5 linked regions of the Canis lupus familiaris genome follow. The protein of the gene in region 3 binds, or shares a complex with, the protein of the main gene of each other region. Links are inferred from orthologs where the notes say so. Each region holds a gene or a part of one and is shown on either strand. Other genes may lie near its edges. The genes, in order: RASA1, RASGRP4, HRAS, MAPKAP1 and SOS1.

Region 1 (6,184 bases), on a different chromosome or scaffold from region 3:
CTGGTAGAATTTAAAAGAACAATATATGAATGCAAGGGGCAAATTGCCCGTACTGTAATTTCAAATAATGGGAGTGATTCTTCCACTTACATGAATGAACGCAATCGTTTATACATATTCTAGCATAAAAGAGGAAACAAAACCCATTTCTGGCTTTACTTAGGTTGAGACATCAGTTTATTGATAATTTTTGAAACTATGCATTATTGTCTCTGGCACTTTGCAACGTTGACATTGGCCTTGTTCAAGGTTCTCCATGCTTCACATATGCGTCCTGGAACAGGCCCCCTGCCTTCTGCACACAAGTGTTGTTTGTGGCACCCGCTCCTCTACACACGTCATTAGTGCCCAAGACCTGAGATGGCACAGGTAATTGTGTGTGTGTGGGGGGGGGGGGGCGGGGAGGGACATGACAGAGAGGAGAGATGGTGCTGTGAGTGAGGAAAACAAAACGTGTACGGTCTTAGAAATCAGAATTTGCCACTATTTCTACCAAAATTCTTAGCCCCCCCCACCCCGTAAGGCTCCCCTTATCTATTTCCTTTACTTCTCTTGAGTTTCAGAACGTAGTTTGAATTTTTTTTTTTTAAATACGTAGTGGGGGATCCCCGGGTGGCTCAGCGGTTTAGCGCCTGCCTTCGGCCCAGGGCGTGACCCCGGGGTCCTGGGATCGAGTCCTGCATCGGGCTCCCTGCGTGGAGCCTGCTGCTCCCTCTGCCTGTGTGTCTCTGTCTCTCATGAGTGAACAAATAAAACCTTAAAAATAAAATAAAATAAAACACGGAATAGTCATATAGTGATTTCTAGTATGCGACGAAAATCAAACAAATCGATAGCCCTGCCACTCCCCCTCGGCCCCGGGCCCCGGCAGCGCCGCTTCCTAAAGGCGTTATTTTCCACCAGCAGGAAGCAGGGCCCCGGCTCCGCGGCATCTTCCTTGCCGTCTTCCTCGGCGCTGCCCCCTCCCCTGCAGCGTCCCCGCCGCGTTCGCGGAGCCGGGCCCCCCAGCCCTCGGCCCGCCCCTCCGCGGCGCACGCTGACCCGGGGCGGGGCGGGGCGGGGACGGGGCGGGCGCCCCCCCGCGGCCGGTCCCCCGCACCGCGCGCCCCCGCCGCTTCCTTCCCTCGGGCCCAGCAGCGCGGCCGCCCCCGCGCCAGGGCCGCGCCTGCGCACAAGCCGCCCCGGCCCTGCTCCCCGCCCTTCCTCCCGCGGCCGGCTCCTCCTCCGGCGCCCCGCCTTCCTTTCTCTCTCTCTCTCTCTCTCTCCCTCTCTCTCTAGTCGGTTTCCGCGAGCGCTCCAGGTCGGCAGCCGCTCGGCCCGCTTCCCCGCCCCCCGCCCCTTCCTCTCCTCTCCTCTCCTCTCCTCTCCTCTCCTCTCCCCACCCCTCCCGCCTCCAGCCCCGCGGAGGATGCAGCGGCCGCCGCGGCCCGGGCCCCAGCAGCGGCACCGGCGGTGGCTGCGGTGGGGGTGGCCGGAACTGGGGTGGTGAAGCGGCGGCGGCGGCCGAGCGGGCGGCAGCCGCGCCAGCCGCTTCCTCTGTGCTTCCCTTCCTCTCTGGCGCGGCCAGGAAGTTTCTCACTAGTGTGCATGTGTGTGAGTGTGGGTGTGCAGGCTGAAGGTGCGGGTTGGCGTTGGTGCCGGCGGTAGGTTTTTTGCCCACTCGGCTTCCCGTAACCCGGGCCGCTCCGGAGCCTGGGCTGTGGCCCGAGGAGGGGGCGCGGCGGCGGGCTCGGTCCTTTTGTTGTCGTTTCCTCCGCCCGGGGAGCCGCCAGGGGGACGCGCCCGGGTGGGGCGGCTGGGAGCCCGGGCCTGCTGGCCCCCGGGGCTCCCGGGCGAGCGTAGAGCGGAGAGCGGAGCGGGCTTCAACATGATGGCGGCCGAGGGCGGCAGCGAGGAGGGCGGCCCGGGGGCGGCGGGGGCGGCGGGGGGCGGCGCGGCCGCGGGCTCGAGCGCCTGCCCGGCGGCGTGCAGGGTGAGGATGCCCGGCGCGCTGCCCGTGCCAGCCGTCGCCTGCTCCGGGCTGCCGGAGGCCGGCGGGGCCGCGCTGGGCGCCGGGCCGGGGGCGGGAGCCGTGGGGGGAGCCGGACTGTCAGGGGGAGGGGCCGGGGCCGGGGCCGCCGGGGCCGGGGGAGAGCCGGCCCTCGCCAAGGGCACCGCTTCGCTGGCTGCGGACACCTTCGGGGCGGGCGGCGCCTTCCCCCCGCTGCCGCCGCCGCCTCAGCTGCCCGCCCTGGGCGCCGCCGGCCTGGGAACCGTGGACGAAGGGGACTCCCTGGATGGACCCGAATACGAGGAGGAAGAGGTGGCCATCCCCCTGACCGCGCCTCCGACTAACCAGTAAGTGCACGCAGCCGTCCCGGGCCCGGGGACGCCGGCTCCTGGGCACAAGTGCGAACCCCTGGGACCTGCAGCTTTTCTTGCAGTTGCGATCCGTTGGTGAAAAAGTTTGGAGCCTTCGGGGTTGGCGTGCGTCGGGACTTGATTGGATCGCTCCTCTTCCCTGAGGGCGTGCACGCTGCCTTCGGCGTCTTTTGCATCTTTCTGGTTAGACCCTGGGAAGAAGTGAAGTTTTTGAGCTAGGAAAGCATGGAGAGTGGGGGGGGAGGGGGGGGAGGGGGGGCATGTGTATCCATCGGGAACCGGATACGGTGCTGCCTTTTCCAAGCCGAGGTTGCGTCCCCGGGGCTCAGCTGAGCTTGCAGCTGCCCGGGCCGTAGAGTCTCTCTCAGCCTGTGCGTGCATTCCCTGTTGAAGTCAGGTTATCCTTAGTCATAAGGCTTTGGGTATGCAAGTATTCCAAGGAGTATGGTATTGATGACCATTTTAAACATGCACCGGTCAGAAGGCTTTGCCTTTGTGGTGCTGTGCATCCCCAGCCTTTCGGAGGCAGAGCGATGCAGAAAAGTCTTCGGGTCTCTCCTGAAGATGTGGGTCGGCGAGAAAGGAAAGGAGTTCTGCGAATTACAGGTGTGGTGAAGGGTCTCTCTCCTCTTACGGGGTCTGTGACGTAGGCCGTGAAATTCCCATTTATTGATAACAGCCTGATCTTTTTATAGTTGAGGCTTTGTAAGCACAGTTCTCAAGTAAAATTGTCAATACTTCAATACTTTGTTGGTGGCCAGTGCAGTGTTCCATTTGGCAATCAGTTGCGACGGTATATTGCAGGGCATTTAGGGCAAATGGCTTTTTTCACACGGTGAGTACCTTCCCCTTGTTCCCTCCATAAGTGAACATAGGTGTGTGTTTGTAAAGGTGGACCTTGATGAGAGGAGAGTGTTACTGGGAAGGGGTAATAGATGGCAAAACCGTTCTTACGGATCCTTCACATCAGTTATTATCTGACCTTTAGAATTTCGACAGCCTTGGTGTATCAGAGGAAAAAATATTTGGTTCATATGATGACATTCACTCTGGACAATTGAAAGTATTTGTTTGTTTTGGATAAGCTTTGGAGGATTTAGAAAGGACTTAGAAAATGATTAGAAAAAGATTCTGTGATAATCCATTCTTAACCTAGGGCTACATCTTTTGATATTTAAGGGGGAAAGGTAAAAGTAGCCTGATTTGTGTCAGCCGTGGTATACTGCTCAGTAAGAGTTTAATTTTTTTGTCTAACTTTATTCCAACTTACCATGTTATGTGTTTGTTTTATAGACCTCTGAAGGTGTTCTGGGAGTGTGAAAAATTTGAATTTTACAGCACTGTTTACACACCTTCAAGCCTTTTTGAAAGAATCAGTAAATATTTAAGCGCTCACTACATCACTCCATGCTCAGCACTAGGGTTATAATAAAGTGCAACTTTTCATACTGAAAGAAGGCAGTCTTTTGCCAGTGTTTGTAACTGAGTTATATTAGGCATATTTGTATATTGTAGTTATAAATTTTTTTAAAAAAGTGATTTTGTGGAATGGTTTTAGGTTCACAGCAAAACTGGGCAGAAAATATAGTGTTCCCATTAGATTTTTCAGGATAAACATGAAGGAGTATTTGGAAAAATTTTTAGAAGTCTATTGTGTGAGGTTTCCATCATCATTAATATATATTTGGGAATAAAAATAATACTTGCATGACTGTATATATGAGAATCGTAAATGTTCTGAAAAGTATCCTCCATTTCAAGTATGTTTTTTAAATTTGTCACTGAGGAGTACAAATTACCCTCTTTTCTTTATCTTAGATATCAAACCAGAGTCACTGGAGGCAATACAGTGTAGTGTTTAAGGGTGCAAATTCTGAAGTTAGACAAGATTTGGGTTGGAATCCTGACTCTACCACTTATAACTGTGTGATCTTGGAAAGGTCAGTTTCCCCATCTGTAGAATGGGGATAATAATGGTACCTCCGTCATAGCATCGTTTTTAAGATTTAATGAGAACCCTGAAGTATTCAGTCAGCACAGTGCTTGGCACATAGTAAGTGTTCAGTAAATAGTATGCCAAAGTAACAGTAATATTTTATTGCCATTAAATTGCCTACTGATTCTATTGGTACAGGGAACTCCCTCACTGATAGTTACTTTAGGCAATGGTTCGTACTCCAGAGGTCTAGCTACCATGGTTAGCTATATTAAGAATTATGACTTCATAAAGGTTTCCATCAGGTTAAGTAGGTTTAGAGATGAAGTTCAGATCTTTTCTATGAATTCCTTTTTTTAATTTTTTTTTATTTTTATTTATTTATGATAGTCACAGAGAGAGAGAGAGAGAGAGAGAGAGGCAGAGACACAGGCAGAGGGAGGCAGAGGGAGAAGCAGGCTCCATGCACCGGGAGCCCGACGTGGGATTCGATCCCATCTCCAGGATCGCGCCCTGGGCCAAAGGCAGGCGCCAAACCGCTGCGCCACCCAGGGATCCCTGAATTCCTATTTTTAAAGGGCTTTAATGATTTGGTTAACTAATGCCAAATCTTTTGTAAGGTACTGAAGAAATGTTCTTCGACTAAGTGAATATTTGTTTACTAGTGAGTGGTCACCTTAGTTATTGCATAGCATGATATTAAGGGGTTCAGGTCACAGGTTTGAGTCCACAGTGGTTTGTTAGAGTAGAGTTCCCTTGCACATGGAGTTCAACCCTGTGTCCAGCTAGTTTGGTGCTGTTGGTCACAAGAGCCGTTAAATGACGATATATGGATGGACAAATGCAAATACCTTACTGCCATTAGTATTTTGTACCTTGTTTTTCTGCGTGCATGGTGAGTCATTGTCTCATGTTTATTACCGAGGGTTTTCATTAGTTTGGTTAAGGACAGAAAAGTTTATATAGTTTTAACTATTTATTTGAATATTTTCCTTTTACAAGTTTTGAGGAAAATTCAAAAAGCATAACATTCTTCCTATGTATTTTTATGCTGTAGAAGTTTCTGTATCTAAAATTCCCGCAGATTGCTTTTTCAAGAGAGAAAAAAGTTAAAGGAGTTTGTCACGGGACACTTTCTAATTTTATGAACTTACTTGCTTTTAGTGCTCCTGGTTATTTTTTCTCTTTGCTTTAGAAGTGAGGGTGATGGTAAAAGGAGTGTTTTCCTCTTAATCCACCTTCAATTATATGTAGAGATTTTAAACTATGAGCCTGCAGTAGCAGGATGCCCTTGGACTGAATCCAACCCACAGATATATATTGCTTTCTCTTGGTGTATTTTGGAACATTGAGTAATTAGTTGCCACCATTTAAAAATAGGAAGACTTCACATTTAAGAAGTCTCACTTTCTAGCATCACTTGCAAAATCACAAGATTTGGCTCTACCTGGTTGCTCTTCCTGTTTGTGGATTGCTAGAGCTGAGTAGTGTTGCCCCTTTTAGGTGAGTTCTGAGCTCTAGTTTGCTGCAGTCTTCACTAGGCTTCGTTTGCCTTTTGATATTATCTGCCTGGCAGGTTAGATCATACCCTGGACCTAAGATGAAGGCTTCTCAAGCCTGAAACTTGAAGGAAAAGGAAATAAATAATGTACAGGATACCTTTCTTTTCCTTAAGAAACATGTGACTATCTCTACAAAAATAAAATCATTCTTAATTAAGCCAAATAATTATTAGAGGTGAATGTTAGGACATGTAGCGTTCATTAGCTTTGTTACTAATTGCATTATAACTATGGGTGAGTCATTATTTCTTAATAAACATGGGGGGTGAGGATTGCAAAGATTAGTTGTGTACAGAGTGGTTGCTGACCAGGACCCAGATTTTTT
Region 2 (6,271 bases), on a different chromosome or scaffold from region 3:
TTCCTGGTCATTTGCTCACACTCTCTTGGCCCATTTTTCTATCAGAGTTGGTGTCTTTTTTTTTTTTTTTTTTTTTGCTGGTTTGCAGCTGTGCCTTTCACCTTCTAAAGATTATTCTCTCGTTGATTTTAGATATTGTAAATACCTGTTCTTGCTCTGTCATCTCATCTGATATTCGTCCCCCGGTGTCCTCGTTAAAAGAAATCCTTATTCTGATATTAGCAAGTGCATCCTTTTTCTTCCTTATGAGTTTCTGTGGTTTGCTTCAGAAGTCTTTTCCTTTGTGGTTGATGGTGTTATTGGTGGTATTAACCATCCTTGCTGGCCCTGAGGGTGGCACTTTGTACCAGGGCCTTTTCTGACCTCCCTCCCTGAGGCTTCTCTGGGTCTCCAGGGGTTGGGGCTTGAGGGTACATGGAGACATAACCAAGCTTGGTTCAGCCAGCAATGTTACATCATCTCGTATGATGCAGGTGCTGGGGAGATGGGCTGACAGCCACATCATGGACAGCACCATTTGAAACTTGATGGGGTGAGGGAGGGGGTAAATAAGGAGGCAGGGAGAGGAAGAGAAAGAGTGAGAAGGCCTGAGACTATTCGGGGTATGCCACGTAATGGAAAAGTTAAACAAAATGAGCTCGGTTCTTGTCTATTTAGACATGAAATGTTCTGGCATGTAAAAAAAAAAAAAATCCATGGTGACTTCTTTTGGTGAAAAAAAAAGAGAGAGTGAAAACATACTTCTAAGAGCATTCTGGTTGAATTGACTAACGCACCAGGTTTGGCAGAAGCATATTAATTACTATGACCCATTTATTCTACTCCTGGGTATCCACCTACAGGATTGCACACTTGAATGTTCAGCAAAAGACAAGTGCTAGAATGTTCATAGCAGTCTTACTCACAATAGCCCCACGCTGGAAGCAACTCACCTGTCCATTACAGGAAAATTGCTCAGTAAATCACAATGCAGGAACAAAAAAAGTAATAACTACAACCAAGTATAAAACATGAAAGAATTAAAAAAAAAAACATGGTTATTAAGTGGAAGAAGTCAGACACAATCAGTTATTCTATTTATAAATAACTCAAACCCCGGGCAAAACTACCCTGCTAGAAATCAGGCTAGTGGTAACTTTTGGGAGGTAGGGCTGGGATGGGGCTTGTGCAGGGGGTTTGGGCAAGATGGAACGTTCTGTTTCTCGATTTTGTCACTGCCACATAGATACGCTCCGTTTTTCACAAGCATCAGCCTAAACACTTAGGATTTGTGCTTTTTTTGTATTTCAATTTAAAAAGGTCAAGCATGACACATTTAAGTAAAAGGAAAAAAACGCACATACTCAAAAGAAAAGTCTGTGTTTCTATGAGCATGAATTTATATACCTAAACAAATGCACAGCCAACAGATCAGATGAAACCCAACAATATTCGATATTGGTCACCACTGCCTAAGAGGGACAGTGGGCCGGGGAAGCGGCCCCCAGAGGGTTTACCTCCTTCTGTAATGTTTTTCATAATAAGAGAACAGTCTTTAAGATTGATGAAACGATGTGATGATGAAACGAGTTAATATTTTAAAAGCCCTTAGAACGCTGTGTGGTATGCAGTAGGCACTACATAAGGCTTTGTTACAACAGAACACAATACAGTGAAAATGTTTCCTGGGATACACATGGCATCATTAAAAAGAAACCAGGAGTAAAAGAAACAGAAGATGGGACAACGCCTGGGTGGCTCAGTGGTTGAGCGTCTGCCTTTGGCTCAGGTCGTGATCCCGGGGGTCTGCTTCTCCCTCTGCCTATGTCTCTGCCTCTCTCTCTGTGTCTCTCATGAATAAATAAATAAAATCTCAAAAAAAGAAAAAGAAAAAGAAGGAGAAATGTACAAAGTCTTAGGTCTTGGGCCTTCCCATTCGAGCCTTTGTGTGTTATATACATGAATACATCCCTACAGAAATACAGACTTTCTGAGTATGTGTTTTTACCTAAATGTGTCACAACAGGGAGACTTAAAAAACAAAACAACCAGCTCTGTTGAAGAACAGCAGTGCAGAACAGAGAATCACGGGTCTAGAGACAGAAAGATGGGGGAGATAGAGAGAGAGCCCGCTGGGCGCCTGGGGGTGGGGGCCGGCAGCACCGGAAACCTCAGCCCGAAGGGATCCCCATGTGGGGGAGGGGGGACCTTTGGTCTCTCCCCAGCCTCTTCCTTCCCCCTGGCCTGGGGCTGGGTGGGGAGGGGCAGTTCCTCTTTCCTTCCCAAGCACCGAGGAGGCCCCAGCTCCCAAGGGGCTAAGAAGCTGGAGCATTGGGAAGGGGGAGGAACAGAGCCAGACTCCTGCAAGACCCCCTCCCCCGCACCAGGAAGCATGAACAGGAAAGACAGCAAGAGGTGAGAGGACCCTCCCCAAGGAGAGCGGGAGCGCCCTCAGCCGCTGGGCCCCCGCTGCCTGGGAAGGCTGGGGAGGACGAGGGAAGCCGGGGGCGCCCCGGGGCCGGGGGCAGCCGCACGAGCAGGGGCACCAGGTGACCCATATACTTCGGGGACTGAGGAGCTGCTGGGGCTGCTTGTTGGAGCATCTGCCTTTGCAGTTCGAGCAGCTCGTATCCCCTCTGCCCCGCCCCGCTCGTCCTCGCCCCCTAGATGGGGTGTCTCCGTCCTCCCCGGGGCCTTCCCCGTTCCCCATCAGCGCTGCTCCCTTGCTGCTGCCCCCTGCTCCCGGGCTGGAAACTCCAGGCTCCTGCAGGGCCCTGCCCCGGGGGAGGGGAGTGTGACGCAGGGCCAGGCGGCTCCCCTGCTCCTTAAACCCCTCCTGGCTGCTCCCGGCACTACAGAGAGCAAGCGGACAGTCACAGGTGAGGGCCTGGCGGCCTCTGGCCCGGGCTTCCTAGCGCCTGGACAAGCTGCTTTGCTGTGCTCCCGGGGCGGCGGTGGCTGGGTCCCTAGCCTGGGTAGCTCCTCCAGCCGCCTCCCTCTGGCGTGTCTCTGATGGGCAAAGGGGTCCCCTCCCCATGATATCCAGCAGTTTGGTGGTAGAGATTTGGCTGTCTCTTTTTCTGGCTGTGTGACCTTAGGTAAGCCACTTGATTGCTCTGTGCCCCAGTTTCTTCCTCTGTTTCTTTTTTTCTTTTTTCTTTTCTTTTCTTTATTTATTCATGAGAGACACACACAGAGAGAGGCAGAGACGCAGGCAGAAGGAGAAGCAGGCTTCACGCAGGGAGCCCCATGTGGGACCCAATCCCAGAACCCCAGGATCATGCCCTGGATGTGAAGGCAGATGCCCAACGGCTGAGCCATCCAGGCGCCCCATCTTCCTCTGTTAATAGAATAATCCTAGTCCCTCCTCAGAGAGGCTCAGAAGTCTTCAGCGAGCCGGTCTAGTGGGCACACATCAGAACCACCTAGAGGGCTTGTAACAGATTGTCGGGCGCCTGGCTGGCTCAGTCGGTGGAGCATGTGACTCTTGATACCAAGGTGGTGAGTTCGAGCCCCACATTGGGGATAGAGAGTACTTAAAGGTAAAAAAATCTTTAAAACACATACACAGATTGCTGGGCCTACCTCCAAGGCTTCTGATTCTGGAGGTCTCTTCGTGAGACCCGAGAATTTGTATTTCTATCAGGCTTCCAGGTGGTGCCGGTGGCATGGGTTGGACCACGCTTTGAGAACCACTGATGGAGACGGGGGCTCAAGCCTCTGCCCGGAACACATTCAGTACTCAGTAAATTTCTTTTTTTTTAAGATTTTATTTATTTATTCATGAGAGACCCAGAAAGAGAGAGAAGCAGAGGGAGAAGCAGGCTCCATGCAAGGAGCTCAATGTGGGATTCGATCCCAGGACTCCAGTTTCACACCCTGGGCCAAAGGCAGACCCTAAACCGCTGAGCCACCCAGGGATCCCAATACTCAGTAAATTTCAGCTCAAGAACATTCAGGACTGATTTCCTGAACCCTTAGGATGCACCAAGGCCGTGTTAGTGCCCTTGTGATGAGGGTCTCCCCATTTCTGCTTTCGCTCCGTACCCCAGGCCCAGCTTCTAGTCCACCTCATCACTTTCTCTGGATGTCAAGTTCAACTTTCCCATCTCCCGCCACTTAACAGCCTGAGCAAACTAAGTCCCTTTAAAAAATATATGTTATTTATCTGAGAGGGAGAGAGAGAGAGAGAGAGCACACAAGTAGGGGAAGGGGCAGAGGGAGAAGCAGACTCCCCATTTAGCAGGGAGCCCAGCACAGGGCTCGATCCCAGGACCCTGAGATCATGACCTGAGCCCAAGGCAGATGCTTACATGACTGAGCCACCCAGGCGCCCCAAACCAAGTCCCGTATTTGGCACTTTTGAGAAGCAAGGCATTGAATGTTCATGATAAATTCCTGGAGAAGGTCCAAGGATGACTCCCATTTTTCATATGAGGAAACTGAAGCCCAGCGGCATTAAGTGACCAGCACAGAGTCACACAGCCAACATAACCCTCTCTAACCCCGCGTGGTCTAACCCTCGCGGAAGCCAAGGCCATTCAGCCTGGATTCTTCTCCCTCCTTCCTCCACCATGTCTGTCTCTGTTTCCACCTTTCCCCAACTGGAACACGAGCCTCAGAGAGGCACAAGACAGAGCAGATGGTTATTTTTAAACTTTCCTTGAAGCTGCCTCACCCCGGGGACCCTGCCCAGCTCTGAAACGCCCTGGTGAGGCCACTTTGCACCCATGTCTTCTCTCCAAACCGAGGGACCCAGGCTGGTGGCTAAGACTCGGATCCTGACAAAGTCCTGGCTTGGGGGAGGGGGCTGTCACCCTAGTAGGGGGTCTAGCTCAGGGAGGAGAGACAGATGGGATCTCAGGGGTCTGCTGCTTTCATGAGGGCTGGGGGACCAGCACTGGAGAGCAAAAAGGGAATTCTGAGGAGTCTCCCTGAAGGCAGGCCCTGGGAAGGACAGGAATGAAGGGGGTGGAGGTAGGAGGGGTGGAGGGGTGGTCTTCTCCCATAATCCCCTGGGAGGCCAAGAGTCATCCCAGGGTCCTGCCAACAGGAAGTCTCTCCATAGTGCCCTGGGAGTATACAGTCAAGGGGAATATGGGGTTGATGCCCGGAGGAAGGAGTTCTTATGATTCCCTTAGTAATTCTGGGGGTCTTCTCCATGATTTCCTGGGGGTTCAGGGTGGTGGTGAGAGTCTTTTCCCCTGATTCCCTGAAGTGGGCAGGAGTAACCCTTTGAGTTTACCTGTAGAAAGCTCCCATGACCTGGAATACTCCAGGGGTTTTCTCCCATGATGCTTGGGGTTTGGGGAGTTAAAGAGAATTCTGGGGGTCTGCTCGAAGGAAGGGGTTCCCATGACTCCCTGGGGGGTGTGCCCACAGGAAGTCCCACCAGGAATGCCCAGGAAAGACAGCAGGGCGGGGCCGGCCCCGACAGGCCCGGCGCCACAAGACGTGCCCCAGCCCCCGGGAAATCAGCAAGGTCATGGCTTCCATGGCTCTGGGCATGCTGAACGAGGGCGGCTGCAGCGAAGATGAGCTGCTGGAGAAATGCATCCAGTCCTTCGGTGAGTGTCCCCTTCCCTGGCCAGCCTCCCCAGTCCTAAGGCGGTAAAGCAGCCAACCTCTGTCTAGGTCTCAGGGTTTTTTTGGGGGGGTGGGGGGAGGCGCATAAAATGGTAGCAAGGGTGTGTGGAATGAATCTCGATCACTATTCCGGATGCAGTGAAACATGCATTTCTTTTTCCTGAGATGAGGGGAGGAGGTGGGGTGCTATTTCCATCTACAACATGACTTGCCAGGTGCTGTGCTGGTCTCTGCCCAGTACAGACAAGGAAACCGAGACACCCTAAGGAGGCCAAGTTGCTTGCCCTAGTTCACGCAGGTAGAGCTGGAGCTTGAGCCAGCCAATCCAACTGGCTCTGGAGACTGTGCGGTCCCTTGCCGAGGAGCCATTCTGACACAGAGTCCCCTTCTCCCGCCTCCAGACTCAGCTGGCAGCCTGCGCCGTGGGGACCACATTCTCAACATGGTACTGGCCATGCACAGCTGGGTGCTGCCTTCTGCCCACCTCGCTGCCCGTCTGCTGACCTTATATCCTTCCAGGGCCACGAGCAGTGGGTGGAGGGTAGGGGACAGAGATGCCAGAGTCTGGGAGTTGGGAACAGGGTGAACAGGCAGGTCTGGGATGCCGGATATCAGAGCCTTGACCAGAACTCAAGTACCAGGAGGCCACAGGGGACACACAGGAGCTGAGGCGGCTGCAGATCTGTCACCTGGTCAGGTAGGGTGG
Region 3 (5,724 bases):
TGCAGGGCCCGGGCACCAGTGTGGGGGGCTGAGCACAGGGTCAGGCGGGGGGGCCACAAGGGAGCTGAGGACCCCCGGGGCCCCCAGCGGGGAACACATAGCCTGCTGGAGACGCTGACCCCGTCAGCCTCTTTCCAGCGGGACCTGGAGTTCCCCACGAGGCCCCTCGGCCTGAAGCGAGTGTCCCCGGCGCCCAGGCCTCTCCTCCCTTCTCCGGCCTCTGAGCCACCGCCCAGGGTGGAGGAGCAGGCCTCCCCGGGCCCAGCCACCCAGCCTGAGCCGCCCGGACCCCCTCCCAGCCAGGCCATCGTCCAACTTCCCCCCCAGCGATGGAACTCCCTCCCCACCCTCCCAGTGTAACAAGACGGTGCGGGCAGGTGGCCCCCGGACACGGTGGGCTTGAAGACAAAAAACGGGGTCCCCTTCCCTTCGGCACCTGCCTGGGCCACCCCAGAGGCCCCGCGACGGACCAGGCCCTGGAGCACCCCCGGGACTCCCATCACGGGGTCCCCCCAGCCCCCTAGGGACGACGCTGTCGGGCCCAGGACACCCTTCCTGCCCCGCGGCCACTGCAGCTCATGCCTCTCGCTGGGCAGTGACGGGCACAGCCAGGGCAGAGCCAGGGCGGCGCTGAGCCCGCTGCCCCGAGGCCCCGCACAGGCCCGGGACCCTCTGCCCTCTGCGTCCACAGGGCAGCTCAATGCTCGCGGGCAGAGCGTGGTGGTGAGTGCGGGGGCCCAGAGGCTCTGGCCCGCCGTCACCGTGCCCTGCCTCATCTTGCTGTCCCTCCCGGAGGGCGGCACCCCCCGCACAGGACACCAACCCCTGACCCAGAGGGACCTGGGCTGGCCTGGCCCCAGGCTCTGTGGGGGCAGGGGCGACTCGAGAACTGCCCCCCAGGCCCAGCACTAATGGGATCCAGTGCTCCGGGGCCCTGGCCAGGCCTGCGTTCTGGCCCCGGGCTGAGCGAGCCCTCTCAGAGCCGGATGTGGCCTCCTGGGCCCTGGGCGTGCCCCACAGATCCAGGTCACTGACCTAGGGCAGCCCTGGGGATCCCGGGACACCCCAGGGCAGGGCAGCAGGGGCAGGCCCGTGGGCCCCACCCGCACCCACACCAGGAGGCAGGCTCCTCCACGTGCTGGGGCTCCAGCAGTCAGTCACCCGGCCCCAGTGGGCCCGAGGCCGGGGTCCAGCTGCCCTGCGGGGACCTAGAGCAGGAGCCCATGGGCCGCAGGTCCAGGCCAGCTCTGCTGTCCCCAGAACCGCCTCTCAACACCCCAACCTCAGGACACACACCCCCACCCGGAGTCCGCACAGGCTCCAAAGTGGGCGACTCCAGCACCCGTACCCCCGTGGGATTCCCGCTTTCCTCTAAGGACAGGAAGGTCTCCCAGGGGAAGGCGCACACCCTCGGCTCTGAGCCCGTTTGCTGTTGCAAGTTCAATAAGGTGTTGTGTGAAAATGCACGGCCGGCTCGTTTCTGCGTCTCCCGGAGCTCTGTGCACGGGGTGTGGAGACACCCCCAGAGAGGAGGAGGGGGGACCTCCCGGCCCCGACCAGCCCCTGCAGGGGCGCCGCCAGGCACACACAGCTGACGTCCCCACGTGCCTTGCAGGTGCGGCCATACGCCAGGGTCAAGACCATCAAATAATTTACTGCGACTCAGCCTTTGCCCCGCGGGCAAGGACGGGACTGGGGGAGAGTGACAGCCGGGGGGGCCCGTGGCCTCAGTTCACGACAGTCTGTGCAAAGCGCCCTGGGAGGTCCGTGCTCCCCCTGTCCAGGGGGCCTGGGCTGGCCGGGCCCCGGGGGCGCTTCCTTCCTTCCTCGCCCTCCTCCTTCCTCCTTCCGCGCCTCCTCCCAGCTTCCGGCACCTCCTCGCCCCGAGCCTGTGCGCCTGGGGCACAGAGGACCAGCGGGGCTGCCAACGTGGCCCTGGAGGGGACGTCAGGACAGCAGGCACTTGCAGCTCATGCAGCCTGGGCCTCCCTCGTCGGGCGGGCTCAGCTTGCGCACCTTGTGCTGTCGAATCTCTCGCACCAGCGTGTAGAAGGCATCCTCCACGCCCTGGGAAGACGGGGCTGGCTGAGCGTGCGGCTCGGCCCGGGGGCCTGGCAGCGCAGGGGACCGAGGGACCCCAGCGTCAAGCTCATGCATCATCCCAGCTCCCCCTGGCCTCTCCCCACCCCGCCCCCACACAGGCAGCCCCAGGGCTCCCCCCATCAGGCGGCTTGGCCCTCAGGAGCTCCCCCACAGGGCAGCCCCGAGGTCTGGCTCCCAGCTCTAACATCCAGGGTCCCGCTCCTGTCTGACCTACCACCCTGGTCCCCCACAGCCCATTAAAGAGGGCAGGGCCTACACGGGCCCATGGGGCTTTCTGCGGGCAGGGGCCAGGGCCCCAGGGTCACCACTCGGCCTGGCTCAGGGCAGCTCTCTCTGGGGACCTCTGCCTCTCCCTGGAGCTGTGTCAGCCCAAACCCTGGGCCCCGGCCTCCCTCGCTGCCCTGCCGTCCGGGGACACTTACAGCGCTAGGGGCCGCTGGGTCACGGGGGTCCCGGAGGGTCCCAGAGGGTCCCGGAGCTGGAGCCAGAGCCAGACCGGCTGCCCTGTGTCGGGGGAGAGGGGGCAATAAGCACTGCTCCCTGGCAGGGGCGGGGCGGGGCGGGTCCCCAGCTAGCTGCGGGGTGGGGAGCCGGCTCACCTGGCGCGTCTTGGCTGACGTCTCGATGTAGGGGATGCCGTAGCTGCGGGCGAGGTCCTGCGCCTGCCGGGACTCCACGGTGCGAGCAGCCAGGTCACACTTGTTCCCCACCAGCACCATGGGCACGTCGTCAGAGTCCTTCACTCGCTTGATCTGCTCCCTACAAGAAGGAAGGTGGGAGCCAGTCGGTAGGCTGCAGGCACGGCTGCATCCGAGACCCTGACAGAGAAACGCGATGAGAGGCAGAGGAACAGGTGGCTCTGAGGGCCGGCCGGAGGCTCACCTGTACTGGTGGATGTCCTCAAAGGACTTGGTGTTGTTGATGGCAAATACACAGAGAAAGCCCTCCCCCGTGCGCATGTACTGGTCCCGCATGGCGCTGTACTCCTCCTGGCCCGCTGTGTCCAGGATGTCCAGCAGGCACGTCTCCCCGTCGATGACCACTTGCTTCCGATAGGAGTCCTGCGGCAGGCCAGTGCTTCAGAACGCCCAGCCCCACACCTCCGAGGACGGGGCCACCCAGCCACCAGCCCCTCCTAGGTCCCCAGGTGCCACCCCCAGGTCCCACGAGCAGGGGCCGCCCTCCTGCGGAGCCCACAGCAGACATGCCCACAGCAGGCTCAGGGCTGGGCGAGCTCACCTCGATGGTGGGGTCGTACTCATCCACGAAGTGGTTCTGGATGAGCTGGATGGTCAGGGCGCTCTTGCCCACGCCTCCAGCGCCCACCACCACCAGCTTATACTCCGTCATGGCTCCTCACGGGACGCAGCACAGGACGCCAACGAGGTCTCCTGTCCCACCTGCTGAGGAAGCTGCTCTCAGCCCTGAGCCAGCCCCGTGGGGCAGACCACCCCGGCCCCGACCCGGTCCCCAGGCCCCACACAACCAGGGAACCGGGCGCAGCCGCCCACCTGTGGCACCTCCAGCGGGGGGGGCGGCGGGGGGGGGGGGGTAGGCACCTCGCCGGCGCTCATGGCTGCGAGAGAGCAGGGAGAGCTGACAGCTGAGAGCATCTCCCAACCACGCACCCAAATTAGAAGTTGCTGGGTAGGCAGAAAGCGTGCACTGGAGGGACCCGGAGGCCCTGCAGGCTGAGATTACCGCCCCTCCCCGCAGAAACAGGTCCTGCCACAGCGGAGTGCAGCAGCGTGCCCGGGCAGGCCAGAGCCCCGCCGCGCCTCGCTGCACCGGACTAGCATCTGCGGAGCGCCCGCGGCCGCCAGCTGCTGCTCCGGGGGCGAGGCCCGGGCCCTCCTGTCCCGGGGGGAGCCCCAGGCCCGCGGCCGCTCGAGCTTCGCAGGAGAGCAGCGGCGGGCTGCGGGGATGGCGGCCCCGGGAGCAGGCCGGCGGGGTAGGCGCGGGGACGGCGCTGGGCCGCGGCCTCCGGCCCGGCTCCCGGTCTGGGAGGTTTCGGGACGCGGTGCCCGGGGCTCCGGTGCGAACGCCCGGCTCGCCCGCTGTGCATCGCGGAGGCCGCCCGCCGCCCGGGCCTCGGGGGCGCGCCTGGCGACCTGGGGGCCCCGCACGCGGCCCGCGGAGGAGAGGGCGCGGACGCCGCCGCCCGGGGCGCCCCCGCACCCCGCACCTCGCACCCCGCACCCGCCGCAGCGCCCGCCCGCGGCTCACCTGCGCCCCCGCGCGCCCCGCCGCCGCCGCCGCCTCCACCGCCCGGCGCCGCAGCCCCGGCCGCCCCCGCCCCGCCCCGCCGCCCGCCGCCCCCGCCGCACTCACCGCTCACTGGCGCGACTGCCCCCGGGGCCGGGGCCGGGGCCGGGGCGGGGGCGGGGAAGGGGGCCGGGGCCGGGGCGCGCGGCTCGCCCAGCGCATGGGCTCCGTCCGCGGAGGGTGCGGCTCGGGCTGCGGGCTGCGGGCGCGGGCGGGCGGACACTCGGGGGGGAGGGCGCGCACGCCCCGCCCCGCGCCCGTCCGTCACGCAGGCGCGGCTCGCCATTGGCCGCGGCCGTCGGGCCACGCCCCCGCCCCGCCCCGGCCCGCCCCGCCCCGCGCCGGTTGGCCGGCCCGCCCGCCCGTCACGGGCCGCGGCCGGGCGGGGCTTCCGGGAAGCGGCGCGGAGGGCGGTGCCCGGCCCCGGAGGCCCTCGTGGGCCGCGGCCTGGGGGGGCTGGGCTGCGCCCGCGGGCGCTCGGCGGGAGCGCGAGAGGCGCGGGCCGGGGCGGCGGCCTCCGCGGGGAGCTGCCCGACAGGACCGCGGGCGGCGGTGCACCGGGGCGGGGGCGCTGCAGACCGGCGGGAGCCCGTGTCCCGCGGTGGGGGGCTCCCTGCGCCGCGAGGCCCAGCGGAGGGGTCAGGCCGGGAGACGAGGCTCGAGGAGGGTCAGGGTCGGCGCGCCGGGCGGACGGCCGGGACGGGAGGCGGGCGCCGGGGCAGGCCGGGCCGCGCCCCGAGCTCTGGGGCCTCATGGCCGGGGCTCGGTGCCCTACACCCCCGTTCCCATCAGGTGGCTCCGGAACGGGCGCCTGGCACCTCGGCTTCGTCGTGCGCGCGGCACCCGGGGCGCCCAGGCCACAAGGGGCAGCGCGGCGCGGAGCATCGTTTGATCCCGCCCCAGGGGTCTCGCTGGGCCGCAGCCTCGCCCCTCTCCTCAGCCTCCCCCTGCAGGCCGGCCCGCCCAGCCCCCTAGCCCGGAGGCTCCGGCCCTGCAGACGCTTGCGCGGGGCCCAGTTAACGATGGGCCCTCTGCAAACCAGCCCGAAAGCTGCCCGAGGGCTGCGTGCCGACGGCTCCCCCATCCGGAGCGCGAACACGCACACCCCGCATCTTTTCCAGACTTTCAAAAAAGACGTGGTTTCGACATTTTATTTTAAATTTCAAAGTAGTGCATCAACACACCGTGCTTGTTTACAAAAAGGAAGAACGGTGCAGCCCGCAGGAGGCCCAGGCTGGCCCCGCTCTGGCGGCCCTGCCCGCCCTCCCGTCCTGCCCCCTCCGGTGCCGGCGCGCGCTGTTCTCGTGGAGCCCCTCCCACTGCAGGCCGTGACCTTGGCGGGCCCCTCGGGGGGGG
Region 4 (5,625 bases), on a different chromosome or scaffold from region 3:
AGACAAGCTCTTATATCTGTATTAATAGAAAAAAAGCAATCCTTTCTTTATAATCACACTACACATGACATGCTCATAGATGACTTATCTCTACAACAAAATTGTATAATCTTTGGAAGACAGACAGCAACCCTTACTGAATTTCTGCCATGTATAAGATCCTTTGTTGCCAGAAGGGATGTGGCAATGTGGCTCCTGTCCTTGTGGAACTTATAGTCTGAATCTTCAAGTACATGTCATGGGAGGTGAGGGCTTATTTCCTAGGGCAGACTTCTTGAAATTCCCTATCAGAATCAGTATTGAATAGTATTTGTTGAGTGAGTGATACAGATTCCAAATTGTATGAAGTCGTAGTATACCAATAAAGAAGATATCTGTTCTTTTTTGGGGTATTTTGGGGCCTCTGTCCCACAAGGATAAAGTTAGAGACTTGCTGTGTGCTCTCAGAAGTATTTTCCAATGACTCTTTACTTCCTAAGAGGTGATGGAGCAGATCCATTTTCCGGAAAACAAACAAACAAACAAACAAACAAACACATGCACATTCTGTTGAGTGTACTTAAGTATACTTTTATTTCTTTGCCCTTTGCCATTTGACTTGTTGGTGCTAGAACACCCATTAAATGTGTAGCTTCTCATTGAAGCCCTTGTTTTTCACAAGAGAAAACTATTCAATATGAAATTGAAAGTACCTGCCCCTCTGCTAGCGACTAGTTGCCTTACTCTCGTGGGAGAGACACTTACTGTGATTGCTATGAGGATGTTTGCAGTTTTGGCCATCTGTGATGCTATGATTTTGTTAGAAAACAAATGCTCTCATTTATAAGTAAATCCATGATTGAATACATCTCTTTATGATTTTATAAGTAATTCTTATTTTTACAAGTGAAATTTAAATGCTCCTCTTTAATTCTGTAATGTTTTTCTGATTAATACACTGAAAATGGTAGGCTGACATTAACATTTCTGAGACTTGGAGGAATCTCATTATATTAAATACACTAGGACTGTGTTAGGGTATAAACTTTTTGATTCAGAGATACCTTTCCTTGGCATTTCCCATTAGCCTCTGTGTAAAATAACTACTCAGTAAATATATTTGAAGGAAAAAAATGAAGATTAGTGTAATTAATTTGATTAATTATACTTTCTCTTAATCTTGGTATCTTTAAGATCTACCGAGTGATGTCATTAGAATGTTACTAGACAAAAGTTTTTAAAACCTTTGTTGGTTATAATGCTTTATTAACTGGATTTCCCCCATATTTCATTTTTAGAAGAGACAAATAACAAGAAAATCTGGTGTTGTAGGCCTTTCTAAAAATAAATACCTCTAGGACTGTTCTGGGAACATATTCAATCCAGTTTTCATGTTCCTTGCATCTCATAATGATTTTGGAGGAGGAGGAAGAAGTTGACCCTGGTGACCTGCAGAGTCCTCTTTCAGAAAGGAACCACACATTTATTTTATGTGCTGTGCACTTACTAAAGAAGGATGAATATTGATATATTTTAGGATTATTTTAAACAAGAATTGAAAGCCGAAGTTATTATTTTTTACCATCATCATTGTTATTATTAAAAGCAGCTAATAATTATGTGCCTGGTGCTCTTTTGAGCACTTTCCCTGCATTATCTCTTATACATCTTCTCATTCCTGGAGTCCCCATTTTATTAATGAAGAAAGAAAATAGGCTCAAATAAGTTAAGGTTGTTTTGACCAAGATCACATAGCCAGCTAGTGGTAGGGGCACGATTTGAACCCAGTTCTGCCTGCAGTTCTTTCTCTTAACCAGTGTCCTCTAATACAGTAGTCCTCGATCATTTGCAGGGGGTGCTTTCCAGGAACCACAGTGATGCCTGAAATCATCGATGGTACCAAATCCTATATGTACTATTGTTTTTCCTGCACATACATACCTATGATAAAGTTTAATTTTCGAATTAGACACAGTAAGATATTAATAGCGATAATAAAACAGAACAATTACAACTATACTGAATTATGTGACTGTGGTTTCCCTCCTCAGAATATCTTAATGTACTGTGCTCAGCCTTCTTGTGATGATGTGAAATGATAAAATGCCTATGTGATGAGTCAAAAGTAAGGTGAATGACCTAGGAATTGTGACATTGCATTAGGCTACTTTTGACTGTCAGGGTACATCAGAAGGAGGATCATCTGCTGTTGGACTGCAGTTGACCATGAGTAACAACAAACTGCAGAAAATGAAACCACAGATGAGAAGAGACTACCATGTTTTCTTTGTTGAGTATTCCCATTTAACTAAGGAGGTACCATTTTATTCCCAGAATATACATCATTTTAGTTTCAACAAGATTCAGGAAGCAGTTCTTACAATGAGATTTCTAAAGTAAGAAATTAATTTGGTAGCAGAGAAGTTTGATTAGTAAAGTTTATTTTAAAAGCACAATACTGGGATCCCTGGGTGGCGCAGCGGTTTGGCGCCTGCCTTTGGCCCAGGGCGTGATCCTGGAGACCCAGGATCGAATCCCATGTCGGGCTCCCGGTGCATGGAGCCTGCTTCTCCCTCTGCCTGTGTCTCTGCCTCTCTCTCTCTCTCTCTCTCTGTGACTATCATAAATAAATAAAAATTAAAAATAAATAAATAAATAAAAGCACAATACTGGGGCGACTGGACGGCTCAGTCAGTTAAGTGTGATTTCTGCTCAGGTCATGGTTTCAGGGTTGTGAGATTGAGCTCCATGTCAGGTTCTGTGCTTTGTGTGCAGCTTCCTTGGGATTCTGTCTCTCCCTCTGCCCCTCCCTTTATCCCTCCCTCTCTCCCAAAAATAAAATAAAATAAAAGCACAATACTCTGTTAAACCAGAAGAAAGGAAAATGTGTTTATTGAACAAAATTACTTTGGTGGTTCTTTTTTTTTTTTTTTTTAATTCCTAGTAACTCAAAGTATTGTCTGTGTTCTTTTAGTTGCCTCACAACCATATGACAAAGACAAAGATGAAATGTTAACAAAAGGAATGCCTGGGGATCCCTGGGTTGCGCAGCGGTTTGGCGCCTGCCTTTGGCCCAGGGTGTGATCCTGGAGACCCGGGATCGAATCCCACGTCGGGCTCCCGGTGCATGGAGCCTGCTTCTCCCTCTGCCTGTGTGTCTGCCTCTCTCTCTCTTTGTGTGTCTCTCATGAATAAAATAAAATCTTAAAAAAAAAAAGTAAACAAAAGAAAGGACAGTTTCATACTTTCACACATAATTTGAGGAAAATACGACTTGTTCCCCTGTGACCTTATAGAGTAATGAGGAGACTGCATTGGAATGAAGGAGAAAGAAAGGAAAATTTATTGTTTTAACAGTAATTATGTGCTTTGAGTGGTCTAAGGAGTCACTGTTAATTTGTTTTGCAAAAGAGGAAGCCACCCTCATTGACTAGAGCTGTAGCCCCTAGTGTTTATAAGGATTTCCTTTCAGCTTAGGCTTAATCCTTGTAAGCTCCTAGGTACAGGGATAAATGTTGATTTTCAAGGTAGCATTGTACCACATTGAATTTGTTTGAAAAATGATTCAGTCATCTTCTTTTTTATTCTTAAATATTGCTGTGTACATCATGTTTCTAGGGAGGTGAGCACGTGAAACAATATGAAGAGGAGAAAATAGCCTTTTAAGGAAATTGGCCCACAGAAAGGATGGCCTTCTTGGACAATCCAACTATCATTCTAGCTCATATCCGACAGTCACATGTGACCAGTGATGACACAGGAATGTGTGAAATGGTTCTCATTGATCATGATGTTGACCTAGAGAAGATTCATCCTCCTTCAATGCCTGGAGACAGTGGGTCAGAAATTCAGGGAAGCAATGGTGAGACTCAGGGCTATGTATATGCCCAGTCAGTCGATATTACCTCAAGTTGGGACTTTGGTATTAGAAGACGCTCAAATACAGGTAAACATTGCCTTTTAGTCATGTCTTCTGAACTTTAAATCAGTCAATAATCTTACAGAATAATGCATATTGTTGGAATAGGTTTAATGGGGAAAGTGTCTATTAATTGGAACATGCATGTATTACAGTGAGTCTAAACAACTCCCATTTCTGTGACTGAATGGAGAGTGCCTCTGGAATGGCGTTATTAAAGGAAGTAGAAACTGAATAGATAAAAAAAGGTGGCTATCAGAGGCATGTTGGATGTTCTGTTTCTAAAAAGTCCTCACGTAGAAAGAGAAGTAGACTTGTTTTGAGTATTTTCATAGAGCAACATTAGTCCCAGTGGGTAGACTACCTGGTAGCCGGTTTCAGGTTGACATAATAAAGAACCTTTAATACAGAGAGCTGACTAGCCAAGGAATGATGCTGCTGGAGCCATTTTTTGGCCTTGGAGGGATTGTGGGAGGGTGGGGGGAGGATTGGAGGTAAATAGCTGAATATTTGTTAGGGCTGATTTTAATAGCAATCCCCCTGTTTTTGATATATTATCTTTATTTTCTTAAATTGGTCTCTACCCTTTGATCTTTGTGGCTTGAAAATGCTATTCTTTGGTACATACATATTCAATCATTAGCTTTTAAAAACTTATCAATGCCTATTTTCCAGCTTATGTGTTTTGGAAATCTTTCAAGGGGAATGTGATGAACCAAGGCCTTTACTTAGATAAGTTATTTAGAATCTATAATGTAGTTCTGATATGACAGGGTGTTCTAGGAGATGATTTTTATTAGGTAATCAGAAAATATAATCTCCACTAATCAGTAGGAGTAACCTGCTAACTCCCAGGAAAAGTAATGGTAGGAGATGTCGTAGATCATAGAAAATATTTACATGTTTATTTTCGTGGTCAAAATGTAAAATGTACTTAAAGAAGTACTGCAGGATACAATATACAGTGCAAGGCATGTTAAGGTTTTGGTTCGGAATTCAGCATTCTGTGACATCTCCAAAGAATAATTTGCTCTCATGATGAAAATAATTAATAGCATTTCCCAGTAGCTCAAAGAACTTTTATCAAAATAGGATTTGAGTGAAGGTTTGAATATAATTTAGAACCATTGATTCTCAGTTCTCTAGCTGAAACTGACTTCCTTTGCAAGTTATTGAGGTGGTATCTTATATGACAGGTTAAATGGATTTCAGAAGGAGAATGCTGCTAAATTGAGAGCTTTCTGATTGTATTACTTTGGCTGTACCCTTCACATTTATTAATTGCAATTGAATGTATTTTCCTTCAATGGAATTTGGTTAGATATAGTGACATTGTCAAAATGCTTTTGCTGGCACAGTTTACATTTATGGCAAGACTAGTTTCAGTATTTCCCTACCACAATGCTAAGGCAGGCGTGTATGTTATCCTACCTTGCAAGAGGTTGAAAGAGAAATTTACTTATTTTTTGTTAGCATTGTTCCAGGATAGGAAGTTGAAGCTAACTCGAGAAATAACATCAATTATGACTTTCTTTTCCATTGTGGTTTTCCTATGCAGTAGTTGTTAATATATGCTGAACAATATTTCTTTAATAAAAGATTGGTTCACTGATTTTTTTTTTTTTTTGGTTCACTGATTTTTGAAGGTTGATCAGCCAGTGGTAATATAATCTCACAAATGCATGATTTTAGGTGATGCTTTTGTTGGAATTTCTTAAGATAGCACT
Region 5 (5,625 bases), on a different chromosome or scaffold from region 3:
AGAGAACCAAATCCATATTCTCACACATTTAGTAGTTTAATAACTAATGGGTATTTGTAAGCTTCTTTTAGCAGTTTTAATGAAGACCTCTAGCAAATAAAATCATTGAGAAACTGTATTTATTTTATTTATTTATTTATTTATTTATTTATTTATTTATTTATTTATTTATAGAAACTGTATTTAATCTACAGCATTCTAGGATCCAGTTTCTAGTTGAATGCTCTCTTAACATGATTTAAAGGAATCTAGGTAGCTGATCCTAGATAAACTAGTCTGGATGTCAGAAAAAGTAATGGGTTATCACTGTGGCCTTTCTCTTCATGAGGTAGATAGAAACCAACTGGAGATGTTCTGAGATCAGGTAACAGGTGGAAGCTTGTTTCCATGCTCTTTGCCTTTCTTCCCTTTGCATTCCTGCGGCTGATGAGTTTAGTAAGTTCAGCCACTCAGAGTGTACAGAGGTCAAGAACTAAGTTGATACAGAATCTTAATAACTGGTTTTGCCACTGATTTTAGTAAGGGCTTAGGCTAGCAATTTGTTATAAAGTCCAAAGCATTCTATGTGGTCAGAACATTTTGGGAATTTTAAAATTGTTCATTGTCTTTTGAAAATGTTGATAATAGCTTTAATCATTCTGAATCAAAGATTTTAATAAGATAATTTTCCTTTTTCTTCTTAGATCCCAATTTTGTTCGGACATTTCTTACAACATACAGATCCTTTTGTAAACCTCAAGAACTACTGAGTCTTATAATAGAAAGGTCTGTTAATGTAAAATATTTAAATTCTTTTTTTTTTAAAGAGATTGAGCTAAAAGATCCTACATGTTTCTCAGAAATAAATTATATGAGCTTTAAATTATAGTTCATGAGTACTTTTTTAAGAACTAACATCTCTTAGATGACCATTTATATTATAATAATCTTTTAGTTTTGATCATTGAAATACAAAAATGAGCATTCTTTTTTACATGGAAACCCAGTATGGGAAATTTCAAATTTATGGAATTAGTCAAGTTAAAGAACTGTATAAAAATGTATAATTTAGGCTCTGGAAACTTAAATTTTGATGATTTAGATGTTCTAAACAGAATTTTTCAAATATATCACATGTTGAAGAAAATGGAGCTTATCAGTGAACAAATACCATAATCAAGAAAAGTGTTTCAGCCACCCAAGGAACAGTCAACTTTTTAAGCATTACCCTTAAAAAGTATTATGTTAGCTGATTTAGAGTGATTACACAAGCCAAAAATGAACAGCAGTCCCATAACTTTATAATCACATTTATTTTTAGACTCTGCATGTATTCTTTATTATGTTTCTCATTTTTTTAATATTGGCAAATATTAATTTATTTTTTAAAAATTAAAGTAAGATCTTTAAACCTTTATAGAAGCCTTACTTGTTTTCACTGATAATGTATGTATGTCTGTAGTTAATTTTCACATTGCTCTCTTTATTGTGCTGACTAGTGAAAAGGTTTGTAGTTTTCAGTTTGTATAATTTGATATTATTGGTATTTTCATTAGTTTGTTCTGTTTTATGTTAGGTTTGAAATTCCAGAGCCTGAGCCAACAGAAGCTGATCGCATAGCTATAGAGAATGGAGATCAGCCCTTGAGTGCAGAACTAAAAAGGTTTAGAAAAGAATACATACAGCCTGTACAACTGCGGTAAGCAGTAATGAAATAACTGAAGTAGTGAAGTCTGTCTTGAGCTTTGGTTTCAGAATTGAAGTAAATAAGGATCTTTCCAAGCAGGAGGAGGTAACAAGTAAAATGAGGGAAGCAAAAGTGTAAGCCACTGATAAAATTATTTAATTTGGAAAGAATTACTCTTTTAATTTACACAATTCATCATGATAAACATTTATGTCTGAGTTCCCATGTAATTCAGTTATTCTTCTGTGTTAATGCCATAGAGTATTAAATGTATGTCGGCATTGGGTGGAGCACCACTTCTATGATTTTGAAAGAGATGCAGATCTTTTGCAGCGAATGGAAGAATTTATTGGAACAGTGAGAGGTATGGTGTTTTGTTTTGTTTTTTAAGTGCCTAGTTTTACATGTAAAAGTACCACTATGGTGACTATCAACTGATGTCATTATTGTTCAGTGTTGTTAAAAGTTGTTTATAATAGTGGCAGCATAAGCACTTGAAAAAGTTGAAAATTTTCATCAAACGTTTTGATTCACAAATTCCTCAATAGTCACCCTGTTGACCTGGTGTATTTTCATTTAGTAAATCAACTTACTGATTATTTTTGAACTGGCTAAAAAAAAAGTCTCAATTTATGCTATTTTTCCACTTATCTGAAGGTCTGTGTACCAGAAGACAATTAGGAACTGGTGTGTCATCATATCCCCTCGAGTTTCAAAGATTCTATGATTGTGTAGGTCTAAGAATGTCCTAGACAAACTTGTTTCTAATTTCCATAGTGCACTCTAAATGAGAATCAGAAAATAAAGAGTTAAATGAGAGTACTTTCATGCATAGTACAAAACAGAGTCACATCAGAAACTCTAACATGAAGGAATCAAGCCCCTGGCACTGTTTGGTGTATAAAATGCAATGTTAATTAGGTTAACAGTGAATGTGTATAGTTTATTCTTATAAATCTCATGTCTTTTTTATGGAGGATTATAAAATAACATTTTGAACTGAAGTTTGGAAGAGTGGAGGTGAGAAATCTCTATGAATGAGTTACTTTCTAATTTTATTTAGAAAGGACGTGGAAGAATGTATACGAGACTGTTAATGGTGGTTAGCCATGGGAAGGAGCATGAGATTAGGATAGGGAACAGGGAAATGGTAAAGGGGAACTTCCTTTTTTTAAATTTTGATCATTGAACTTTGTAATAGCAAAGATATATTTAAGTATCACCTGTCTAATTTTAAAATATTTTAAAAGAATAAAATAATTGAGTGAAAAGTATTTAAATGTCATTTAAAATATAATGTATTTCAGGTAAAGCAATGAAAAAATGGGTTGAATCCATCACTAAAATAATCCAAAGGAAAAAAATTGCAAGAGACAATGGACCAGGTCATAATATTACATTTCAGAGTTCACCTCCCACAGTCGAGTGGCATATAAGCAGGCCTGGGCACATAGAGACTTTTGACCTGCTCACCTTACACCCAATAGAAATTGCTCGACAACTCACTTTACTTGAATCAGATCTGTATCGGTATGTAATTTGACATTCAAGCTGAAAAATCATTTCAAAGGAGTTAATTTTTTTTAATGAAATACTGGTTTCTGCCTTATAGGAATGTTAAAAGACATAAATGAGCTAGTGCCTGAAGTGTGTAGTAGTAAAGCCTTGATGGATAGACAGCCTCCCCTTCTTTCTCTCCTGTTCTGCCTGGATTTACAGGTTGTGTCTGTTGTCACTCCCGCTGGTAAAGCTAAGTGCAGATCCTGGCTTTACCAATCACCGGCTTGGTATCCTTGGGCAACTTGAGCCTTCTTGTGTCCCTGAGCTTCCTCAAGATTAAAATGGGGCTAATGACAGTACCTATTCCTGGGGCCATTGTTAGATTGGAAATAGTCAGTATATAAAGTGCTTAGCACATTGCCCAGCACAAAGTAACTTACATTCAGTAAGTTAGCTGCTGCCCTTGTAGTTGTGAACTTAAGTTATGGCCAGTCATAGCTTCTTTTAGTTTTTCTGCATTAATGTAACTACTGTCTCAGTGTATTTCTCATTTTAAATGGGGACTATTTAGAATTTAGAATAACAAACTATTTTTTAATAACTACATGAATAAAAGGAACTTAATTTATAGATCTCTGTCTGCTCCAAAAATCATCACTTTCCCAAAAACCTAATGTATTAGAATCTACTTTATTTATTTCGCAGGAGCTTTCTGTGGTATGTTCCCCTGCCTCCTTTAGGGGAAGAAAAAAGATTTATGAATTACAGTGGTTACTATATCCTCAGTGAACTGATTATTATAACAGATACCATTATTTAAAAGAACTATCCCAAATTACACTGTCACCCTAATTCATTAAATAGTATTTGTAAGTGCTGGGAAAGATGTTATGAAAAATCCCAATGTTGCCCAAAGCAGAATGCTACTATAAAGTGATGATATAAGTATATAGATACACACATAGAAATAGAAAAATACCCATAATTGTAAGATTTTGTTATGCCTTGTTTTCATAAACCTTTCTGTTGGTGTTCAAAGAAGTTTTATGTGGGTGTTTGATTTTATTTACCTCATTTACTTAATAAAGCAGCGTGCTAGAGGCAAAGGTATCATGTAGAATTATTGTGTCTTGATGATTTTAGAGCTGTACAGCCATCAGAATTAGTTGGAAGTGTGTGGACAAAAGAAGACAAAGAAATTAATTCTCCCAATCTTCTAAAAATGATCCGGCACACCACTAATCTCACTCTGTGGTTTGAGAAGTAAGTAGTGCTGCCATCATACGCTTCATAGCAGCCCGCTCTTAGAACCTGAAATGCAGTTCTGCTTTTGTATGCCTCATGTCCTTTTTTATTCCTCTATTCCTGCTTTGTTTTGCACGGAGAATAGTTTTCTAACGTATTTTTTCCTCTTTTTTTTTAATGTATTTTTATTTCATTTAATGGTTTCTTGAGGATGGGTTTAGTGGATGCTTTATCTTCTCGGAATCAGCTGCAGACTTGTGCTAGCTTGATTCCAGGGTACATAGAGGTGTTCCTCCTAGGTAGCCCTATTCTGTCTTCCTTTTTTGTGGTATTATTGTACTATGTGTTACATATAATAATGAGGCAACTCTGATAATAATACATTGTAACAATTGTTGCTTTACCGTTTGTGGCCCACCTCCTCTATGTAGTTATTGGCAATGTATTATATATAGATGCCTTTTAAGTCCAACGATACATTACATACATATTATTTTATACAGTTTGCTTTTTAAATCAGTTCACAGAAGCAATGAGAAAAAATATGCATTTGTGTCATCTTATGTAATCACTTAATTACTGTCACTAGCACTCTGTTTTTGTGGATTCGTGTTACCATCTGGGGTTCCTTGCTTTCACCCTGAAGAACTTTGTTTAGTAGTCTTCCTCTGCTGGGTTTGCTAGCAACAGATTCTCTCAGCTTTTGTTTATCTGGGGAAGTCTTTATTTTGCCTTCATTTTTGAACGATAGCTCTATCTTCAAGTTAATTATTTCTTCTGCCAGTTCAAATGTACTTTTGAGCCTCTTTAGTAAGTTTTTTAACTATTGTATTTTTTAATTTTAGAGTTTCCATTTGGTTCTTTTCATTACTGCTGTGTCTTTTTTTTTTTTTTTTTTTTTTTTTTTTTACTGCTGTGTCTTTTATGATATTCTGTGCTGCACTCTGTCATCCTATCTTCCTGTACTTTTTAAATCCCGCTTTCTTTCCATTAGTTCTGTAAACATATTCGTAATGGCTACTTTGAAATCATTTTCTGTTAAATCTGACATCTGGTCCTTCTCACAGGCAATTACTATTCCCTGCTTTTTACCTTATGAATGGGTCATCCAGTAATTCCCCCTTATCCATGGAGAATACATTCCAGGGCCCCCAATGGATGCTTGAAAGCATGGATAGTACTGAACCCTATATATACTATGTCTTGTTTCTATA

The links.
Region 1: the proteins of HRAS (region 3) and RASA1 are in contact, whole or in part, in a crystal structure (PDB 8BOS), measured with the Homo sapiens proteins. The link is inferred for Canis lupus familiaris from reciprocal best matches to the Homo sapiens genes HRAS and RASA1. Residues at the interface, in NP_001123914.1 of Homo sapiens: Gly12, Gly13, Ser17, Ile21, Gln25, Asp30, Glu31, Tyr32, Asp33, Pro34, Thr35, Ile36, Glu37, Asp38, Ser39, Tyr40, Arg41, Gln61, Glu62, Glu63, Tyr64, Ala66, Met67, Lys88, Lys117; in NP_002881.1 of Homo sapiens: Gly746, Arg749, Glu783, Thr785, Thr786, Arg789, Ala790, Thr791, Glu799, Lys803, Ser833, Arg894, Gly898, Phe901, Leu902, Arg903, Cys906, Pro907, Leu910, Asn911, Met914, Arg928, Ile931, Ala934, Lys935, Gln938, Asn939, Asn942, Val944, Ala948.
Region 2: the proteins of HRAS (region 3) and RASGRP4 are in contact, whole or in part, in a crystal structure (PDB 6AXG), measured with the Homo sapiens proteins. The link is inferred for Canis lupus familiaris from reciprocal best matches to the Homo sapiens genes HRAS and RASGRP4. Residues at the interface, in NP_001123914.1 of Homo sapiens: Glu3, Gly12, Gly13, Gly15, Ser17, Ala18, Ile21, Asp33, Pro34, Thr35, Ile36, Glu37, Tyr40, Arg41, Asp54, Leu56, Asp57, Ala59, Gly60, Gln61, Glu63, Tyr64, Ser65, Ala66, Met67, Arg68, Asp69, Gln70, Arg73, Thr74; in NP_733749.1 of Homo sapiens: Tyr228, Gly232, Val234, Val244, Asn248, Ser251, Asn288, Met291, Ala292, Gly295, Gly296, Cys298, His299, Ser300, Leu327, Ala328, Ser329, His330, Asn331, Asn332, Tyr333, Ala334, Arg337, Leu351, Gly352, Val353, Leu355, Lys356, Val359, Ser360.
Region 4: the proteins of HRAS (region 3) and MAPKAP1 are in contact, whole or in part, in a crystal structure (PDB 7VV8), measured with the Homo sapiens proteins. The link is inferred for Canis lupus familiaris from reciprocal best matches to the Homo sapiens genes HRAS and MAPKAP1. Residues at the interface, in NP_001123914.1 of Homo sapiens: Gln25, Asp33, Ile36, Glu37, Asp38, Ser39, Tyr40, Arg41, Leu56, Glu63, Tyr64, Met67; in NP_001006618.1 of Homo sapiens: Glu277, Ser278, Phe280, Ala286, His287, Gly288, Phe289, Ser290, Leu291, Ile292, Gln293, Arg311, Arg312, Lys313.
Region 5: the proteins of HRAS (region 3) and SOS1 are in contact, whole or in part, in a crystal structure (PDB 4NYM), measured with the Homo sapiens proteins. The link is inferred for Canis lupus familiaris from reciprocal best matches to the Homo sapiens genes HRAS and SOS1. Residues at the interface, in NP_001123914.1 of Homo sapiens: Gly13, Gly15, Ser17, Ala18, Thr20, Ile21, Gln25, Asp30, Glu31, Tyr32, Asp33, Pro34, Thr35, Glu37, Tyr40, Arg41, Asp54, Ile55, Leu56, Asp57, Thr58, Ala59, Gly60, Gln61, Glu63, Tyr64, Ser65, Ala66, Met67, Arg68; in NP_005624.2 of Homo sapiens: Glu589, Lys602, Trp809, Thr810, Lys814, Leu822, Met824, Ile825, Arg826, Thr828, Thr829, Thr832, Glu836, Asn869, Leu872, Val875, Ser876, Asn879, Ser880, Ser881, Tyr884, Ser908, Asp910, His911, Tyr912, Lys913, Leu916, Phe929, Phe930, Gly931.

The regions. Positions count from the first base shown.
Region 1 is NC_049224.1:21,306,233-21,312,416, reverse strand, and holds the start of RASA1 (ras GTPase-activating protein 1), read left to right. Parts: upstream 1-1,867; coding exon 1,868-2,337; intron 2,338-6,184. UniProt on the Homo sapiens protein: Inhibitory regulator of the Ras-cyclic AMP pathway. Stimulates the GTPase of normal but not oncogenic Ras p21; this stimulation may be further increased in the presence of NCK1.
Region 2 is NC_049222.1:115,413,218-115,419,488, forward strand, and holds the start of RASGRP4 (RAS guanyl-releasing protein 4), read left to right. Parts: upstream 1-2,230; 5' UTR 2,231-2,371; coding exon 2,372-2,394; intron 2,395-5,361; coding exon 5,362-5,546; intron 5,547-5,966; coding exon 5,967-6,072; intron 6,073-6,199; coding exon 6,200-6,262; intron 6,263-6,271.
Region 3 is NC_049239.1:25,992,431-25,998,154, forward strand, and holds HRAS (GTPase HRas), read right to left. Parts: upstream 3,509-5,724; 5' UTR 3,454-3,508; coding exon 3,343-3,453; intron 3,165-3,342; coding exon 2,986-3,164; intron 2,863-2,985; coding exon 2,703-2,862; intron 2,616-2,702; exon of another isoform or gene 2,608-2,615; coding exon of another isoform or gene 2,545-2,607; exon of another isoform or gene 2,068-2,544; coding exon 1,948-2,067; 3' UTR 1,635-1,947; downstream 1-1,634. UniProt on the Homo sapiens protein: Involved in the activation of Ras protein signal transduction. Ras proteins bind GDP/GTP and possess intrinsic GTPase activity.
Region 4 is NC_049230.1:57,559,546-57,565,170, forward strand, and holds part of MAPKAP1 (target of rapamycin complex 2 subunit MAPKAP1), read left to right. Parts: intron 1-3,597; 5' UTR 3,598-3,666; coding exon 3,667-3,925; intron 3,926-5,625. UniProt on the Homo sapiens protein: Component of the mechanistic target of rapamycin complex 2 (mTORC2), which transduces signals from growth factors to pathways involved in proliferation, cytoskeletal organization, lipogenesis and anabolic output.
Region 5 is NC_049238.1:31,193,570-31,199,194, reverse strand, and holds part of SOS1 (son of sevenless homolog 1), read left to right. Parts: intron 1-683; coding exon 684-765; intron 766-1,555; coding exon 1,556-1,678; intron 1,679-1,926; coding exon 1,927-2,030; intron 2,031-2,973; coding exon 2,974-3,196; intron 3,197-4,309; coding exon 4,310-4,429; intron 4,430-5,625.